Linked DNA regions of Pelodiscus sinensis. The protein of the gene in region 2 interacts with the protein of the main gene of each other region in a pairwise test. Links are inferred from orthologs where the notes say so. Each region holds a gene or a part of one and is shown on either strand. Other genes may lie near its edges.

Evidence for each region.
Region 1: the proteins of PLIN1 (region 2) and ABHD5 interact in a protein complementation assay, tested with the Homo sapiens proteins (3 studies listed by BioGRID, with this or other methods). The link is inferred for Pelodiscus sinensis from reciprocal best matches to the Homo sapiens genes PLIN1 and ABHD5.

What each region holds. Positions count from the first base shown.
Region 1 is NC_134712.1:182,750,257-182,759,114, reverse strand, and holds the start of ABHD5 (1-acylglycerol-3-phosphate O-acyltransferase ABHD5), read right to left. Parts: upstream 4,328-8,858; 5' UTR 4,318-4,327; coding exon 4,172-4,317; intron 1-4,171. UniProt on the Homo sapiens protein: Coenzyme A-dependent lysophosphatidic acid acyltransferase that catalyzes the transfer of an acyl group on a lysophosphatidic acid.
Region 2 is NC_134724.1:16,614,403-16,623,352, forward strand, and holds the start of PLIN1 (perilipin-1), read right to left. Parts: upstream 3,777-8,950; 5' UTR 3,542-3,776; intron 2,556-3,541; 5' UTR 2,545-2,555; coding exon 2,491-2,544; intron 1-2,490. UniProt on the Homo sapiens protein: Modulator of adipocyte lipid metabolism. Coats lipid storage droplets to protect them from breakdown by hormone-sensitive lipase (HSL). Its absence may result in leanness. Plays a role in unilocular lipid droplet formation by activating CIDEC.

The DNA.
Region 1 (8,858 bases), on a different chromosome or scaffold from region 2:
GCATGGGGCGAGTGGGGACTGCTCACTCTATGCTCCCTGTGGCACTTCTGCTTTTGAAATGTACAAGAGCCCTACAGGGCTCTTGTTCATTTTAAAAGCAAAAGTGCCTGCAGTGGGAACCAGCACATGCAGGGGACTCAAGTAGTCCCCACTCACGCTGATTCCCACTGTGCCTCTGCCTCCCCTGCCAAGATGGTGCTAGGGGGAACCAGGGGCTCCTTCTTTCCTCCCCCCTTGCTGCCTCTCTCTGATAGAGGCGGGGTGTGTATGTGGGCAGAAGTGACTATGGAGTCAACTATCCGATAAGCATTTGCTTAACAGATAGTCGACGAGTCATTTATATCCCTAGAAGAGTCCCTGGATCATGGAAGAGCATACACGCAGAGAGCCCTTTACTATCAGGTAGATAGCTTAAGAGGTAGACATTTTAAAGGAGCAAGAGTTGAGTGGGAAGGGAGTGGAGAAGGCTCACCTGATAAGTGATAATGGAGACAAGGGCTAAGACAAGGCCCTGCAGAGCAGTCACACTGTTTTGAATTAATGTGTCTTGAATCTTCATTTCTAAGCTAAAGAAAAACTGAGCAAAGGGACTATGTGCAGATCTTTTGGAGCATGATTCTTTATCCTCCTACTTATGCTTTATTTTAAAATTTAAGGTGTGACAGTCAGACAAATCTGCAGTGTCCCTTTAAATTGGGGTGTTAGATGGTGTCTAATTAAATAATCATTTAACCACATCAAATTTTTGCCATTACACAACTATTCAATAGACCCCTGGGGCAGGGTTGGCAGTCAGTATTCTCCTGACCCCTCTCGAAGCCCCCTGCCACACACGCTGCCTCCTGTGTATCCATAGGTACAGGTGGGGGAAGGGAAAGGAGGGTCCCTGGAGGCAGCAGCACAGCAGGGAGGGAACAGGCGGATCTGGTGCTTGTTGGTATCCGGTTTAAAAGCTGACTCTCCAGGAGCACGGGCTCCTGCCCCACCCCTTGCTGCCTCTGATACAGAGACAGCAGGGAAATAGGGGGGAGAAAGGAGGAGGAATGTGTGTAGTCGACAAAATTAACCGATATGCCCGGGCTTACCAGTTAATCATGTAGTTGTCTACACACTGACATCCCTACTTTAAACATCATGTCAATCACTCTGAATCTTATGCAGTATAGTACCCCAAGTGTCTTACTAGAAGCACCTTATGAATTTAAGCCTACTGAATTCATTACTGAAGATTTTAAAACTACATACATTCATACTGAGATTGTAAAAAGTCTAAGATATCCAACAACATGCCCCAAGAGTTATATCCCAAATTCAGAAATGTCTCAAAAAGACAATAAATAGTTATGAATATTGGAATTGTACTGATTCCTACAACATATTTCTATATATTATTCCAAGGCACTCTTAAGTTTTAACTAGTTGTTGCTAGCCGTTCCATCTAAATTCACCAAAAAACCCAAAGATATTTTTAGAGAGAGTTATTCCAACTTACCTTAGATGAAGACAAAACATTTTCTACCCTTAAAACTTCTCCCTACATTTAATGCAAACTTAGCAGTAACCAGTCATTTTATATAGAATGCTGTCATACAAGCTACAGTAAACTTCTGATAATCCGGCACCTTTAGGACCCAGGGGGTGCCGGATTATCAGATATGCCGGACTATCGGAAGAGGGGGCTATGAGGGGTCTGGGGTGGGGTGGAGGGGATGCCACCCCAGACCCCTCATAGCCCCCCCTTCCAATAGTCCGGCTCTGCCCCAGGCATCCGCGATTCAGCCGCTGCTGGTCAGTTTCAGCAGTGGCTGACTCAGGGATGCCTGCGGCAGAGCAGCTGGAGTACTGCCGGCTTGGTCCAGTAGCACCACCCTTCGGTGCTGTGAGATCAACCCGGCAGCACCCCAGCTGCTCTTGGGGATGCCTGGGACAGAGCAGCTGGGGTGCTGCTGGGTTGGTCCCGTAGCACCGCCCCTTGGCAGCACTCCAGCTGCTCTGCCCCAGGTGTCCCCAAGAGCAGCTGGGGTGCTGCCAGGTTAGTCCCGCAGCCCCGAGGGGCTGCGCTACGGGACCAACCCAGCGGCACCCCAGCTGCTCTGCCCCCGGCTTCCCTGATTCAGCTGCTGGTCAGTTTCAGCAGTGGCTGAATCGGAGAAGCTGGGCGCAGAGCAGCTCCAATTGTCCAGCTGCCCGGAGCACTTCCGGGTTCCCGATGGTGCTGGACTATCAGGAATTCCGGAGCATTGGATGCCGGAACAATGGAGTTTTACTGTATTTCTATTTTATTTTATATTGAAGACTATCTTCAGATCAGATTATCTATTACAGCTGTATGGCTTTGCATGTTTTGATTAATGTATTTTGTAGCAATTTTACTGTGCTATCATCACTACTCTCCCATAGAATGCTCATGTTACCAGATGTCAATTAGTTGAACTTGTGGTGTAATAGCTGAGTTACTACTCAATATATTTGGTTTAAAAGAGATTAAACTTCAGTTTTTTCCTTTATATGCACTTGATCTCGCCTGTCATATTGAACTGTACCTAATCTATGATTTTAATAGAATCCACCAAGACAAATAATTTTAAAATTGAAAATTAGTGTTTTATTAGTTCACACAGTTTAATTTTTTTTTTTTGGCAGTTAACCAAGCTTGTTCACCTTCAAAAGATGACTAAGCTTTAGGACTGGCTACTATTAAGACAGAGTATTTATATTACTGCAGCTAACTGTTCAAAGCTCAGCCAATTCATCACTATCAATGTACTTTCTGATGTATGAAGAGGAGGCATAAGCTTTCATTTTCAAAAGTGACTAGTGATTTTGGCTTCTGATTTTAAAGACCTTAAAAAGGGCTTGATTTTCAGACAGTGGAGCTGAGCATTTTCTGAAAATCATGCCCCTTTTAAAAAATGCCATGTTGGGCATCAATAATCCCTTATTATGAAAATGTAGACCATTGTTTGTACCCTAAAGATCTTATATTCTAAGAACACAATCCTGCATGGTGCTGATGACAGAAACAGAGCACTCACCACTACCCACCTTAACACCCTTAAAGATCAAGTTAAACAACTAATGCAGTTCAGAACCAATGCACTGAATCAGAAGATAAAGCATAGCTATTTTAAAACTTATTTGGTAAATTATCAACTGGGATCTTCAGAGTGTGTATTTTAAGAAGAATGCTTAAGGGTGTTACAAATGTAGCCATGTTAGTCTGGTGTAGCTAAAACAAAATACAGGACTATGTAGCACTTTAAAGACTAACAAGATGGTTTATTAGATGATGAGCTTTCATGGGCCAGACCCACTTCCTCAGATCAAATAGTGGAAGAAAATAGTCACAGCCATATATATGGTATATATGGTTGTGACAATTTTCTTTCATTATTTGATCTGAGGAAGTGGGTCTGGCCCACGAAAGCTCATCATCTAATAAACCATCTTGTTAGTCTTTAAAGTGCTACATAGTCCTGTATTTTGTTAAGGGTGTTACAGCTGTGTTGATTCCAGGATATGGGAGACACAATGTGGGTGAGGTAATATCTTTATTCACTTAAAAGTTTGTCTCTCTCTCCAACAGACGTTCATCCAATAAAAGTTATTACTTCACCAGACCCACCTTGTCTCTGTAATAGAGAGGGGGGTTTGTTTGGCCCACATACTACAATGGAGGAACAGACAGTTTCAAAAGCATAAGGCACATCATCGCAGAAAGCTGAAGACAACGATTCCTTCTGAAAGCCTGCTGGGGAAGGAAAGGGATAGTAGCAGGAAGATGGGTCGGGCCAATGTGTTTGAAGGGGAGCTGTTCTAAGTTTGTGCGGAAGGGAAGAGGAAGGCAGCGGCGAGATGCAGCGACAGGCGCACCAGAGACAAAAGAGGTTGTTTTTTTTTAGTAGCAGCAGCTAACACGGGCTGGAGCAGGGGGGAGATGTGAGGCGCCCGCAGGCGGCTGTAACCGCAGCAACAACTATCACAGCGGTGGGCTTGCAGTAAGCACAGGGAGGCAGGGACACAGAGGAGCCCACAGCGGCTGGGATGCGAGGGTCTGCGATGGGGCGGAGGGGTGTACACGGGCGGGGGGGGGGGGGGAGTCCCTTCGTCCCCTTGGCCCGCTGCCCCCGCCTGTGGCGCCGTCACCCCGCCCCGTCCCGTCCCGGCTCACCCTTCGCTCGACGCCTCCAGGTGCCCGTCCTCGGCCATGGCGGCGGCGCGGCGGCCGAGAGCTGGTGCCGGGGAGGCGGCCGCGAGTGAGAGCGCGAGCGCAGCAGGGCCAGCCATCACGGGACCGGGACCCGCCCACCGCGTCATCCCCGCCGCGTCGACCCGTCCCGCCCCGCCCCAACGCGCGAGGCTAGAGCGTCCCAGGGACCCGCCCCCTGGGCTGGCGGGGTGACGGGCAGCTCGCGGTGGAGCGTGGAGGTCGCGCGCCGGGTGCGGAGGCCTTTGGGAGCGCTCTCTCCTAGCGCAGCTCTCCGGGCTGGGCGCATTCAGGCGGGGGTGAGAGGAGGAGAGAAGAAAGGCGCCTTTTGCGTGTGGCCTATTCACAGACGTAATTAATGCTGTGCCAGAGGTCGAGGCCTCAAATGGCCTGGGTGCTAGTGATGTGGAGAGTACACTTAAATGCACCCCAGACCTGCCATGGGCAGTCTGCGCTACTGTGTGGGCTGCATGTGAGTGACCCTCCTTCATCTCAGTGGGGCGCAAGATAGTCGCCCAGGAAAGCTCACTGCACTTGTGTACCTGGAATTTGTGGGGTGTCATGATTGAACCATAGCAGTGCTTTGATTTGATGCAGAGGGAGCACACAACTGTCACAGTCAATGTGTGCAATCGGCACACACCTCACTTTACGTGCCCTTGCTTCACGTGTGTGTCACTTTAGTAATACCAGTAGGGAAAAAATGATGCAAACAGAAACCGGCAGAATCTGGCAACTCTGCGCGTTGGCAACTGGTAAACAAAATGTCTTGCAGGCCACCCATAGAACCCCAACAGCCCACATTCAGCCCTGAGGTTGCCTACTTTGTTTTCCCTTTAGGACAGTGAACAGCCAACGCTGGGTCATACCAATAGTTGGTGTAATCCAGTATGCTGTTTTTCCACAGTGGCCAGCAACAGTGCTTCAGGGAAAGAACACAAGTGAATTTCAGTGAATCCTGGTTTCTGACCGGCATAGTGGCTCTCAAAATTACTTAACTACAGTAAACTTCCGATAATCCGGCACCTTTAGGACCCAGGGGGTGCCGGATTATCAGATATGCCGGACTATCGTAAGGGGGGGCTATGAGGGGTCTGGAGTGGGGTGGGAGAGGATGCCACCCCAGACCCGTCATAGCCCCCCCCCTTACAATAGTCAGGCTCTGCCCCAGAAGTCCCTGATTCAGCCACTGCTGGTCAGTTTCAGCAGCAGCTGAATCGGGGATACCTGCAATAGAGCAGCTGGGGTGCTGCCGGGTTGGTCCCGCAGCACCGAGGGGCGGCGCTACAAGACCAACCCGGCAGCACCCCAGCTGCTCTGCCCCAGGCATCAGGATTCAGCCTGCTAGTGAAACTGACGCTGCTGGTCAGTTTCAGCAGTGGCTGAATCCTGATGCCTGGGGCAAAGCAGCTGGGGTGCTGCTGGGTTGGTCTTGTAGCGCTGCCCCTCGGCACTGCGGGACCAACCCGGCAGGACCTCAGCTGCACTGCCCCAGGGGTCCCTGATTCAGCCGCTGCTGAAACAGATCAGCGGCTGATTCCAGGAAGCCCGTGGCAGTGCAGCTGGGGTCCTGCCGGGTTGGTCCCGCATTGCCGTCCTTTGGCACTGCGGGACCAACCCGGCAGCACTCCAGCTGCTCTGCCCCCAGGCATCCCCAAGAGCAGCTGGGGTGCTGCCGGGTTGGTCCCGCAGCCCCGAGGGGCAGTGCTACCAGACCAACCCGGTAGCACCCCAGCTGCTCTGCTCCCGGCTTCCCCGATTCAGCTGATGGTCAGTTTCAGCAGCAGCTGAATGGGGGAAGCCTGTCCGGCTGCCCCAGCACTTCCGGGTTCCTGATGGTGCCGGACCATCAGGAGTCCCGGAGCATTGGATGCTGGACTAATAGAGTTTTCCTGTACTATACCCCTTTCAGGACCCTGATTTGTCTTAACTCCAAGTTCCACTTCACTTAAAAACTATATGCTTACAAATCAGACATTAAAATACAGAACTTTCAAACAGTACACTGCTACTGAAAAAATTCTCATTTTTACCATATCATAAAATAAATCATTTGAAACAAATATTATACTTTTACATTTTAGTGTATGGTATATGAAGCAGAATAAACAAATCATTGTATGAAATGTCATTTGTATAGACTTTACTGCAGGTTGAACCTCCCTGATCTGGCACCCTCGGGACCTGACCAGTCCCAAAGGAAGGATTTTGTTGAACCGAGGATGGCCTCTCTGCTGGCAAACTCTGGACTCTCTGGTATCTATCAGCAGATTGCCATGCTTACCTGCCTGGGCTCCCAGCTTTGCGACCAGTCTGGGGCTGCTGGGGCTCAGCTGCTCAAGGGTCATTGGGGCTCTGCAGCCCTGGTGGTCAAAGCTGCTGGACTTCACAGCCTTGGGGCCAGAGCTGCCAGGATTCCACAGCTGAGGCTCTCTGGTCCAGCAACATCCAGAGAGTCCAGTACCAGAGAGGTTCAACCCATAGTGCGTTTTTTGTAACCTGTTGTAAAACTAAGCAAATAAGTAGATGAGTTGATGTACTCTCTGGAAGACCTCTGCATATCCGTAAAGGTATGTGTACCCCTGATTGAGAACTCCTGTGTTTGCAAAAACTAGTTCCACACAAGTAGACTATTTTTTGATACACTAACAGTCTTTAATACACCAACAGCTAAAGGAGAGCTCATTGAGGAGTACTCAAATAGTACTAATGAATCTTCTTGAACCTTTTACCAACCCTGTGGCTGATATAGCAACTTCTGGTTTAGGTTTGTTAAGAACCACCATCCATCCCTATACAGCTTCCATTTGGGATCATTAGAAGAAGACCGATGAGGCTTAGTGCCTCATTAAATCAGGAAAAATGTCAAAGATTTTCAGGCAAAACTATTTAAAAGGATTGGTTGCACAAAATGCTGTGGCCATAGTTATGCATTAATGTGTGTGTGTGTGTGTGTGTAAATATGACACACACATCCACCACAGATGTGCAAGACTGAGGGAATCTCTCAGGAGAGTGGGTCACAAACCATTTAGGGGTTTATAAGTCAAAATACACACCCTTAAGTGCTTATCCAGATGCCCAGCTCAGTAAGGGCATACCTTCACTACCCCTAAGATCGTTGGGCAGTGGTAGAACCCGTGGGGGTCGATTTATCACGTCTAGCTTTCTGAGCACTCTCCTCCAGTCCTCCATCAAAATAAGAAGAGTAAGTGGAGTCGATGAGAGAGTGTCAGCTGTAAATTTACCACAGTGAGAACATCGCTGTAACTTCCACTATGTTCATGAAGATGATGTTGTGTAACGACCCATAGTAGCATAGAGTAAGCCTAAAAGAATTAGTGCTTTCTGCACCAGCTTCTGTTTCCAAATGGTTTTAAATGTAGCAATATATAGGGCATGTTGCAGCACTAGCAGCAGTCTAATTTTAAGACAGCAAAGGCCTGGATAACAGTGACAATGTCTGTGTCTAAAAAGAAGGATTAAGCATTTCTATTTAGACACAGATGGTAAAATCTCAAGTGGGTTACTGTTCAAATATGATCAGCCAGCACTAAAAAGGGGATCTAGAATTATCATTAAGTTGTGAACCCTAGAAACTAATGGTGTAAATACCCCATCAATATGCATACATATGTGTATAATATGTTCACTTGGCTATTATTTATGTTAATTAAATAACAAAGAAGGAAAAGTTTACAGAACAGGAAATATCAGTGAAAAGCTATTAGATCTCTGGATCCCTTGCTCCATTCATCTGAATATGTGGCTAGTGCCCATGAAATATCATGATACTATCTACATCTTTTGTTAGTCTCTAAGGTGCTGCAGGACCATTTGTTTTTTATTTTTTTTTCAGTTAGGGTATATCTACATTGCATGCTTATTTCAAAATAACTTATGTTATTTCAAAATTACAGAGTGCGAGTCTACACATCAAGTCCATTATTTCATTTCAAAATAATGAGCTTCTTACTCCAACTTCTGTAACCCTCATTTCATGAAGAGTAAGGGAAGTCTAAGGAAGAGTGTTCTTCCTTCAATTTCCTGCTGTATAGACAGTGCCTAAAGAAGAGTTAAGCTACTTTGACTTCAGCTACACAACTTCAGCTACATTAAGGCTACGTCTAGACTGGCATGATTTTCCGGAAATGCTTTTAACTGAAAAGTTTTCCATTAAAAGCATTTTCAGAAAAGAGCGTCTAGATTGGCACGGACGTTTTTCTGCAAAAGCATTTTTTGCAGAAAAGTGTCCATGGCCAATCTAGACGTGCTTTTCCGCAAAAAAGCCCCGATCGTCATTTTCGTGATTGGGGCTTTTTTTGCGGAAAACAAATCTCAGCTGGCTACACTGGCCCTTTTGCGCAAAACTTTTGCGCAAAAGGGACTTTTGCCCGAACAGGAGCAGCATAGTATTTCCGCAAAAAGCACTGATTTCTTACAGTAGGAAGTCAGTGCTTTTGCGGAAATTCAGGCGGCCAGTGTAGACAGCTGGCAAGTTTTTCCGGAAAAGTGGCTGATTTTCCGGAAAAACTGGCCAGTCTAGACACAGCCTAATTGTGTATCTTGACTCGACTTTGTCCTGCAGTGTAGACGTACCCTTTAAAGACTAACAAGGCTAGCCCTTTGAGACTTATATCCGGAAAAATAT
Region 2 (8,950 bases):
AATGTCAGGCCCTGGGTCTCACTGTTGCAGGATGATCAAGTGACCAACAGAGGTGCTTTCCTGGCACTACAGACTGCGCCGTGCCCCAGGTAGGGTTACCAGATGGCTTAACAAAAAAATACCGGACACACTTGATCTCAAATGGGGGGTGGGGGGGGGGAACTGGCCGGGAGGGGAGCGGGGGGAGCAGGGCTGGCCAAAGGAGATCGGGGGAGGGGGTGAACGGCCAGCAGGAAGCAGGGCTGGCCAGGACGGGGGTGGGGGGAGTGGGGCTGGCCTGGGGAGAACTGGCCGGTGGGCAGTGGGGCTGGCTCGGAGGCAGTGAGGGGGAGTGGGGCAGGCTGGGGGGGGGGGAAGAGAGACGGAGGGGGAGGAGAGCAGGGGGAAAGAATTGGCCGGCAGGGAGTGGGGCTGGCTGGGACAGAACCGGCTGGCAGGAAGTAGGGCTGGCCGGGAGAGGGTTGGGGGGAACAGGGCTGGCTGGTGGGGAGCAGGGCTGGCCTGGGCCCGGTCACACGCAGATTCCGGGGAGCTGCTTGTCCTGCGCATGGTCCCGGAGGAGCACGAGTGAGTCCGGCCCCAGGGATTCCATCCCGTCCCACCCGCGCTCGCTCCTCCCTACTGCGTAGTTGCGTATTGCCTGGCTGGTAGACACACTCACACAGTGTGACTCATGCAGTGTGAGCATGTCTACCAGCCAGGCAGTACGCAGCTACGTACTGATACTCGTAATAATCAAACTAATCTAATTAGTTTATATGTCCGGTATTTTCTCAATTTATTTCCTGGACAGAAGCCTCAAATGCTGGACTTTCTGGTTCAAAACCAGACACCTGGCAACCCTAGTCCCAGGAGTGGACAGCAACAGGCCTTTCTACTAGGTGTGTGTGTGGCTGGGGTGTGGGGCGAGAGGACGGAAGGGGGGAGGAGAGTGCACAAGGCTCCGTGCACTGCCCCTACCCTGAGCACTAGCTTCGCACTCCCATTGGCTGGGAACAGGCCGCTGGCTGCTTCTCAGGCACATCATGGTCTGTGGTGCCAGGAGAGGCAGGAAACTGCCTTAGCAACCCTGCTGCATCGCTGACCGGAAGCTGCTTAGCCGATAAGTGCAACTTTGCCTTTGAAGTGTAGCAACAGATTGTTGCTACACTTCAAAGGTGAAAGCACTGTGAGGAGCATGGGGCCAGTGGGGAACTCAAGCAGTCCCCCACTAGCCCCGTGCTCCCTGCGGCATTTCAAAGCAGCAGCACCGTGGGAGCCTGGGGTCAGTGGGAGAGTCCCCAGCTGAACCCAAGCTCTGCACGGTGCTGCTGCTTTGAAATGACACGTGCAGCCTGGGGCCAGCTGGAAGTCCAGTACCCAGCTGGTCCTGGGCTGCATGTGGTGTTTCAAAGTGGCAGCGCCGCATGACGCCCAGGGTCTGTTCCCGGGCTCCACACAGCGCTGCCGCTTTGAAGCACCCTCTTCTCCCCCCCCCCACCTTGCTGCCTCTTTCTGATAGAAGCGACTAGTTTATTCGATAAGCATTTGCTTATTGGATAGTCAACTAGTCATTCACATTCCTAGTAAAAATCAAGACATACCTAGTTAAGTGAAAACCCCTAGGCTCTGCCACTTTATGTCAGACATTCATTGCCAGTGCAGCACTACACTACATGAGTCTGATCAGGGCATTACAAAGAGGAGAGGTTCTCCAAGTCACCCGAGTGTGGCAGGAGGAATGGAGTAGACTGGACTAATCAATGCCTGGTGAATGATAGCTGCGAGGCTGTGTGTGTGTCTGGGAGGGGAGAGGGAACAGCTTGTATTCAGATCAGTGCCATATGTGTTCAGAGTAGGTTATAGGTCTGCTTGTGCAGTAAATATGGGAGTTGATGGCATTTCCAGGGCTAGCAATTATGTAACTCCTACACCAAGGCCATCCCAATGGCTGTGGTTCTTTACATTTGTACTGGGTTCTCAGCATGGTAGCATATTTGTGGTCCATACTGTGAAAGTGGGTAAAGACCGTCACTGAACATTGTTGACGGACAGACAGAGTCAGAATTAAGGTTGCTTCTGGAATCTGAACTACTGAGTTTTTAGGCTTTAATTTTTTGAGCTGCTTTAGTTTTTTTGGCAGGGGGCATGAATACACTGGGGGTTTTAATAACTACAGTTTGAATGCTGCTTAATTTAACTGATATTTCCAACTCTGATTGAATCAAAGATTTTGTCTAAGAACTTGATTTTAAGAGAAAGCATTTAAAAACACAGATCTTGCTAAATGTTATAATTATTTTTTCCAACAGTAACTGTATATTGCTATAGTTGCTGATCTGTTACAAAGATGATACGGACTTTTGCAACAGAAGACAGTACAGTATAATATTTGAATCAAATACTCCCCTGGTAGCATTAGCAACCTCCTACTTCTCAAGCCAGGGGTCCATCTGATGTTGCTCGTACACAGCAGCCTTCTTTGCCTCTCCATCTCTTGCCCACACTCACCTTCGTGTTTCCGTTCTGGTTCTGCATTTTCTGGCTTCTGTTTGCTGCCATCATGACATATCAGCCTGCAAAGCAAAGTCCAGAGTCTAATCAAGGAGCTTTCTGGGAAAACAATGCTGGGAATGGTCTCAGGTCTGGTCTCTAGTCGAACTGATGACTCTGGTGGAGTCTCAAGCTGTAGGTACATCCTGATCTCTTGCAGTCTAGACCAGCAGGGGCAGAGAGCTATGTTGAGGCAGTACATGCCTTGGGTGGATGAGACCCGGTATTGCTTAATAGCACCTAGATCTATGCAAGTAAGCAGCAGAATTGGTGACTCCTGGAAGAGTCCCAAATGAGTCTCCTCAACGAAAGAAAGCACTGAACGAAGAGGTTGGGAGGCATCAACCACCTCTCAAATTGGCAAATTGGAGTAACAGTCCTGAGAGTCAGAATATGAATTGCAGGGGGTGTTGAGTCATGATTGAGGTCCAGCAGCACAACTGTGCAAGGTGGAAGTCTAGGATGGGGACTGCAGGCCAGGACTGAGGGGCATTTCCAAAACTAAACAAAGAGCCAAGGATAAGAGTAGCAAGGGGTGAAGCAGGTCAGAATGGAGGTGTCCTAGCAAAGCTGAGGATAATGGTCAGGGCTGGATTAGCTGGTGCCGTGGTGCAGGATATAGGAGCATTGGTAGAGCTTAATAAGGAATGAGCAAACTCCCCACCCATGCAGTGCCAGCTCTGGAGCACTCAGAAGGCTTTTAGGAGAATAGACCAGTGCTTGTTCAGATACAGATTCAATCTAATGCATTTGAACAGTACAATGCATGCTCTAGCTACTGTGGCTAATGCATCCCCAAAGCCATGGCAGGGATCCTTTTTCAATCTCCAAAACCCGAATGCCACTATTCTGACATCCCCTACTGCCATTTCCAGCACAGATTCCTTCTTTCCCAGCAATAGATTAAATGCAGAACCATTAAGCAGAACTACTTTGCCAGCTGCTCCCTGCCCTTCCCCAGCATTAGGGAGGCTGTACGCTAGGCATACACCTGCCGTTGGTTACTCACGGAGCAGCAGTCAGACGCTGTCATCAGCAGGATGTCAGGAGCCGAGTGTGTCTGGTTGTGCTGTTCCAGGGAGCAGATTCTCAAACATAGATGTGTCTTACCACAGAATCACCACAAAACCCCACCTCCCAGCTGCATGGGTCAAGGTGTCTGCATGTTGCTGTGGTAACATGATAAATGGCTCTCTAGGGCCATATCAAATTCAAAAGATGTTTGCATAACCAGTCTGGAAAATACCCCCCCCCCTCCCGCCATTGTGGGTCCAAGGAACTGAGACACAAGACCTGCATCTAACCCGACCATACCAAAGCAACACAACAAACAGGGAAAGAAAAATCCCTCAACATTAACACCTAGAGAGCAATGGAACCATGAGCAAAAGGCAGTCTGGGGATAGTCAGGTTTGCCAGCCCTGGTGGCTCTTGCTGGCAGAGTGACTTTTAGTGGATGGTTGGAGCGCAACATGATGCACATATTTGGGACTGAGAGTGCAGCTCACACTTACTTGAGGATTTAGTGCATTGGAAAAAGACACTGCTGTGTGGATTGAAAACCTACAAGGGATAAAGAAAAAGGGGGATTTATTGAATTGGGAGAGGGATTCAGTGGGGAGCACAGCAAGTGTAATTAGGATTGGATTTATTTCACTTCTTCACTTGGACGTGGCACATCAGTACAATTCTCAGAGACTGAGTTGGAAGGCGTGGTGAATGCTTAGAAGACAGAGAAATAAAGCAAAGGGTCATAGTCACATGAGAAGCCCAGAGGTATGCAGTGGGAAAGAGGAATCCAGGAGTCAGCAATGGCTGGCAAAAAGAGACTGGTTGTTTGCAGACATGATACTGGAGTGTTTTGAAACAGCCAGCAGCAGATTGGCAGAGGAAGCCCCTTGCCACCAGAGCTGAAAGCCCCCTGCGCTGCGAGCTGACTGGCTGCTTCATGCTTCTAGCTCCCCCAGCTCTGCAGACAGGGCACAGGTGGGGAATGACAGTGCAGGTCCTTGAATGCCCAGAGCTTCACAGATTCCCTCAAACAAGATAATGAGGGAGGTGTAAATCTCCCCCTCCCCACCACCACCACTGACCCACCCACCCACCTACCCTGGTTTGGGGTGTGTGGAAAGCAGGATCCTAGTAAAGAGTCCCAGGCAGGTGGAAGAGGGACTGAGAGGCTGAGTCATGGGGAAGACAACTTCCCCAAAATAAAGAAGGTAGCATACACAGGAGTAACGTCCCCTCCCCCACCTCATACATCTCAAGCTGCAGGAGTCTGGCATTGTGTGCCTTCCTGGCTGAGCTCCCCACCCAATGAAGGTGAAAAGGGAAAGGCAGCATAACACTGGGTAAGTGTTCCATCCCTGTGATGAGTCGCTGCTCTCCAGACAGCAGGGCAAAGGGCAGCAGCCGCTCCAGAGCTGTAGCTCATGTATTTGGCAGTGGGTTCTCTCTTGGATTTTGCTATCCTTAAGTAAAAGCACAAATGATCAGTCAGGAGAGGGAAGCATGTGGCTGAGCCTCCCTCCTGATTTAATTCCAGCTAAGACCAGACCCAACACAACCTCTGCCCTGCTAAAGTCACCACCCTACTGCTAGGCAAAGTGTCCCTCCCCCCCAGCACTGTCCTGGCTCTCTGTCCTTCTCAGCCCCTTTAGAGCAGTGTTTCTCAACCTTTTTTTTATAAAGTATCCCCTTTAAAAAACAACAACTTATAAGTACCCCCAGTACCTACAGTTTGCAGACACACAATTTTTTTTCTACCATTGCAACACATTTGTTTAAACAAACTAATCGTTGCCAGGCGGGGGACGACATTTTTGGGTGTAAAAAGTACAAAAATAATAAAACACTGTAAAACGTCAAATAAAAATTCAGTTTTCTCCAAATTTCAGTTGTGTTGACGTTCCCCCTCCTCGCCCCCCCCCCCCCCGATTTCTCCCAAGTACTCCTAAGGATACTCGTACCACTGGTTGAGAAACACTGCTCTAGAGCACAAAAGCCTCATCAAAAGACCCCCATTCATCTATCTCTGTGGTATCCAACCAGTCCTGAAGCAGGGGTTGGCAACGTACAGCACGGGTGCCATAAGCGGCACACGAGCCAATTTTGAGTGGCACATGCAGTCCATGCACTTCTGAAGCCTGCACAACCTCAAGACTTAAAGCACCAGCTCCAGCTTCTGGGCACAGGGGAGTGGGGGAGGTGAAGAAAACCCCGACTGGACCTGGCTTCCCACTCGTGTCCACCCCCAGTGTCCCTGAGAGCAGCCCCGGCTCCCCATTCCGCTCCACCAGGCAATACAGAGATGCTGCACAGAGCCAGGACAGCCCCTCACCGTCCCTGCAGGATTGAGGCCCCACTCCTGCATGCACCCTGCTGCTGCTTCGCCTGCCCCGGCCTCACCAGCATGCAAGGGAGCTGGAGGAGAAGGAAGCAATGGGGTGGGAGAGTCCGCTCCCACTGCCCCCGCGAGCCACCCCAGCTTCCCGTTCACTTCCACCGGGTGGCACAGGAACCCCGCGCAGAGCTGCAGGATTGAGGTACCGCACATGCACTGCTGCTGCTCCGCCCACTCCAGCCCCGCTGCTATGTGGGGACCTGCGGGGGGGGGGGGGGGGGGGGAAGAGCGGGAAGAAAAGGCTGCCCAGCCCCGGGATCTGGCCAGTACTGTCCCCAAGCAGCCACCACCAAGGAGGTTATGAGGCAGTGGGGGAGGGGGCCTGAGCGAGAAGGAAGCAATGGGGTGGGGGAATCCACCCCTGGTGCCCTTGAGAGCCACCCCGGCTCTCCGCCTGCTTCCAACAGGTGGCACGGGGACACTGCACAGACTCAGGACTCACCTGCGCTGTGAGAGGGAAGTGGGGGCCAGGGTGGGGAGGTAATGGGGGAATTGGGGTGTGTCGGGGTCAGGCTCAGAGGGTTGAGGGTTTTTGGAGTAGTTTTTTTGCTTCTCACTTGTGTGGCCCCCAACTGATTTTTCTGTGGGTCAGTGGCCTCCAACCCAAAAGAAGTTCCCCACCCTTGCCATAAATAAAGAAAATATTGAAACCTTTTGTGTCGGACATAAATTGATATTTTACTTTATTTAAAATGAAGTTTGATAAACTAACAAGAGAAAATTAAAATGCTTCATCTGTTTAATAATTTAAATTAAACCATTCCCCTTAGCTGCAGCACTAGCAAAATGGCTTGGGCATAATTATGTAATTAACAGTGAGTTTCCATTAGCAACTGGTGATCTGCAGAAAGGTTTGCATTGAGCCAGGTGGTCCATGGACCAAAATGTTTGAGAACCACTGTGCTAGAGGGGGAGTGCTGCCAGGGCTGTGGCTCTGCGGCTGGGCAACAGCGGGGTGACTGAGGAGAGAGGAAAATGAGGGGGGGGGGTCCTACCCCAAAGCTATGTTGGCCCTGGGGTGGCTAGGTCCCTGGCACGAAGGCGAGGACACCATGGACCGGATTCCCATGGGACTCTGCCCACAGCAGGGCTGGACACCCCAGGTTACCCCCCTGCCCATTTCCCTGAACCCTCCCTCAAGCCACTCTGACCCCAGCCCGTGCTGGTGATCCAGCATCATCCCCTCCCCTCCTCCCATAAGATGAGCCATTGTTGGCTTCCTGCAGGGGAAGAGGAGAAGCCCCAAGACTCCGCGCCACATCCGACTTCTGGGGAAGCGCGCATGCTGCTCCTATCTTCCCCACAGAAAAAGCCGGCGCGGAGCCCAGGGCAGGAAATCTAGCGGGGCGGGTGGTGGTGATCATAGATAGTGTAAAATTACTCAAGAAGCATTTGACTGCTGGTGATGCAGTAGCGGAATAAACTCTTTTCAAATCAGAGCTAAAGCAAGTGCCTTGCATGTTGTTGAAGGGCACCATGCTGCTGGAAGGGCCATTTTCAACTGGCTTGTGGCTCTTTGTATTAGTTCTGAGGCCCCCCTAGGGCCCAGTTTTGATCATTATACTGTGCCCTATCCCCCATTTCAATAAGAATGAACAAAATTGCCCAATTCTAAATGGTCATGCATTAAACATATGCAGCAGTTCACTCTACATCTCTGGGACGCTTCTGGGGTGAATACACAGTGGGCTCTTACTACATTTGAAGTGCAGAGCCGCTGCAGAAGCACCCCCCCTATCAACTAATCAAGCAGTTGATGGAAAGTCTATTGATTAGTTAATTAACTGATACTTAACATCCCTACCACTCAGTGGGCCCTTCTAGCTGGGAATCACCCCAATATTTTAGTAAGTTACCCTTTATACCTGCAAGCTACAATTAACCCATTGATGCTAAGAAAATAGCTACAAAATCAAGTGGAAGTCTATTTTATGTGTGACCCCTTCCCAACAAAGATGTCAGATCATAATTTAGCTTCCTACAAGTAAACAAAATAAAAAAAATCTGTAAACAAAGAGAAATTAATTTCCTCTCCCCCAAAGTAGATCAACATAGCTCCTCTTATCTACTTTAGCTCATTTAATTATAAAACCGGGTGATGGCAAGCTGCTGCCCATCACCTCTGATGGGGAGTATGGCCAGGAGCCTACTAGTTAACAGATGGAGCTAAGCACAGCTAACTTCATCAGAAAGGAGAGGAGGGCCATGGCGACGACAGATTCCAGCATGCAACACTCCATCTTGGGCTAAGCAGCCAGGACACACAGTACACTGGGACCTGTAATTTTGATGAGCTGCACTTCCACATTAAAAAAGGCAGCAGTGTAGCACTTTGCAGACATTCAGTCTCCAGGGCAAGCTTTTGCCACTTAATGGACAGCATCCTCCTGTTTAAAAACACTTCATTGGAATATTAACAGTGGGCACATCAAACATGGCCCCTTGTAGAGAAAAGACATGAGATTAACAGGGGCATTTTATTAACCTGGTTGCAGAACTCCAGGTCCTTTGCTTTTCAGAAAAGCAGAATGGGCAATGATGCTCTTTAATTTCTGCCTACAACTGAGTTCTGGTAATATTAATCAGCTTCCATATTTGCTCAAAGACTGGGGGTGGGAAGTCTCTGTATTGGTGGAGAGCAGAAATCAGAGGCCAGGCTCAGACTGAGAGAAGGGGTCCTTTTGGCTCTCGTCTCACAAGTAAATTCTACAGATGCTGAGCCACAGATGCTTGTGAAAGTGGGATTTCTGTAATGTCAGTCTCCTTCACCCAAAAGGATGTCAGACAATGCACATCTTACACAGACAATTAGGCAGAGCATTTCCTCAATAATTAAAGGCAACATTCCAACCTAGGTAGCTTGGAGAACAAAAGGGTCTTCAGAGTGGTAGAACCCACACAGAAAGGTGACATGAGAAAACCACTTGTCCTTATCCAAGCAAGTGGCCATGACAGGGGGAACTCTAGAGAGAGTCAGACAAAAAGATTATCTTTTAGCACGTGTCTATCAAAGGA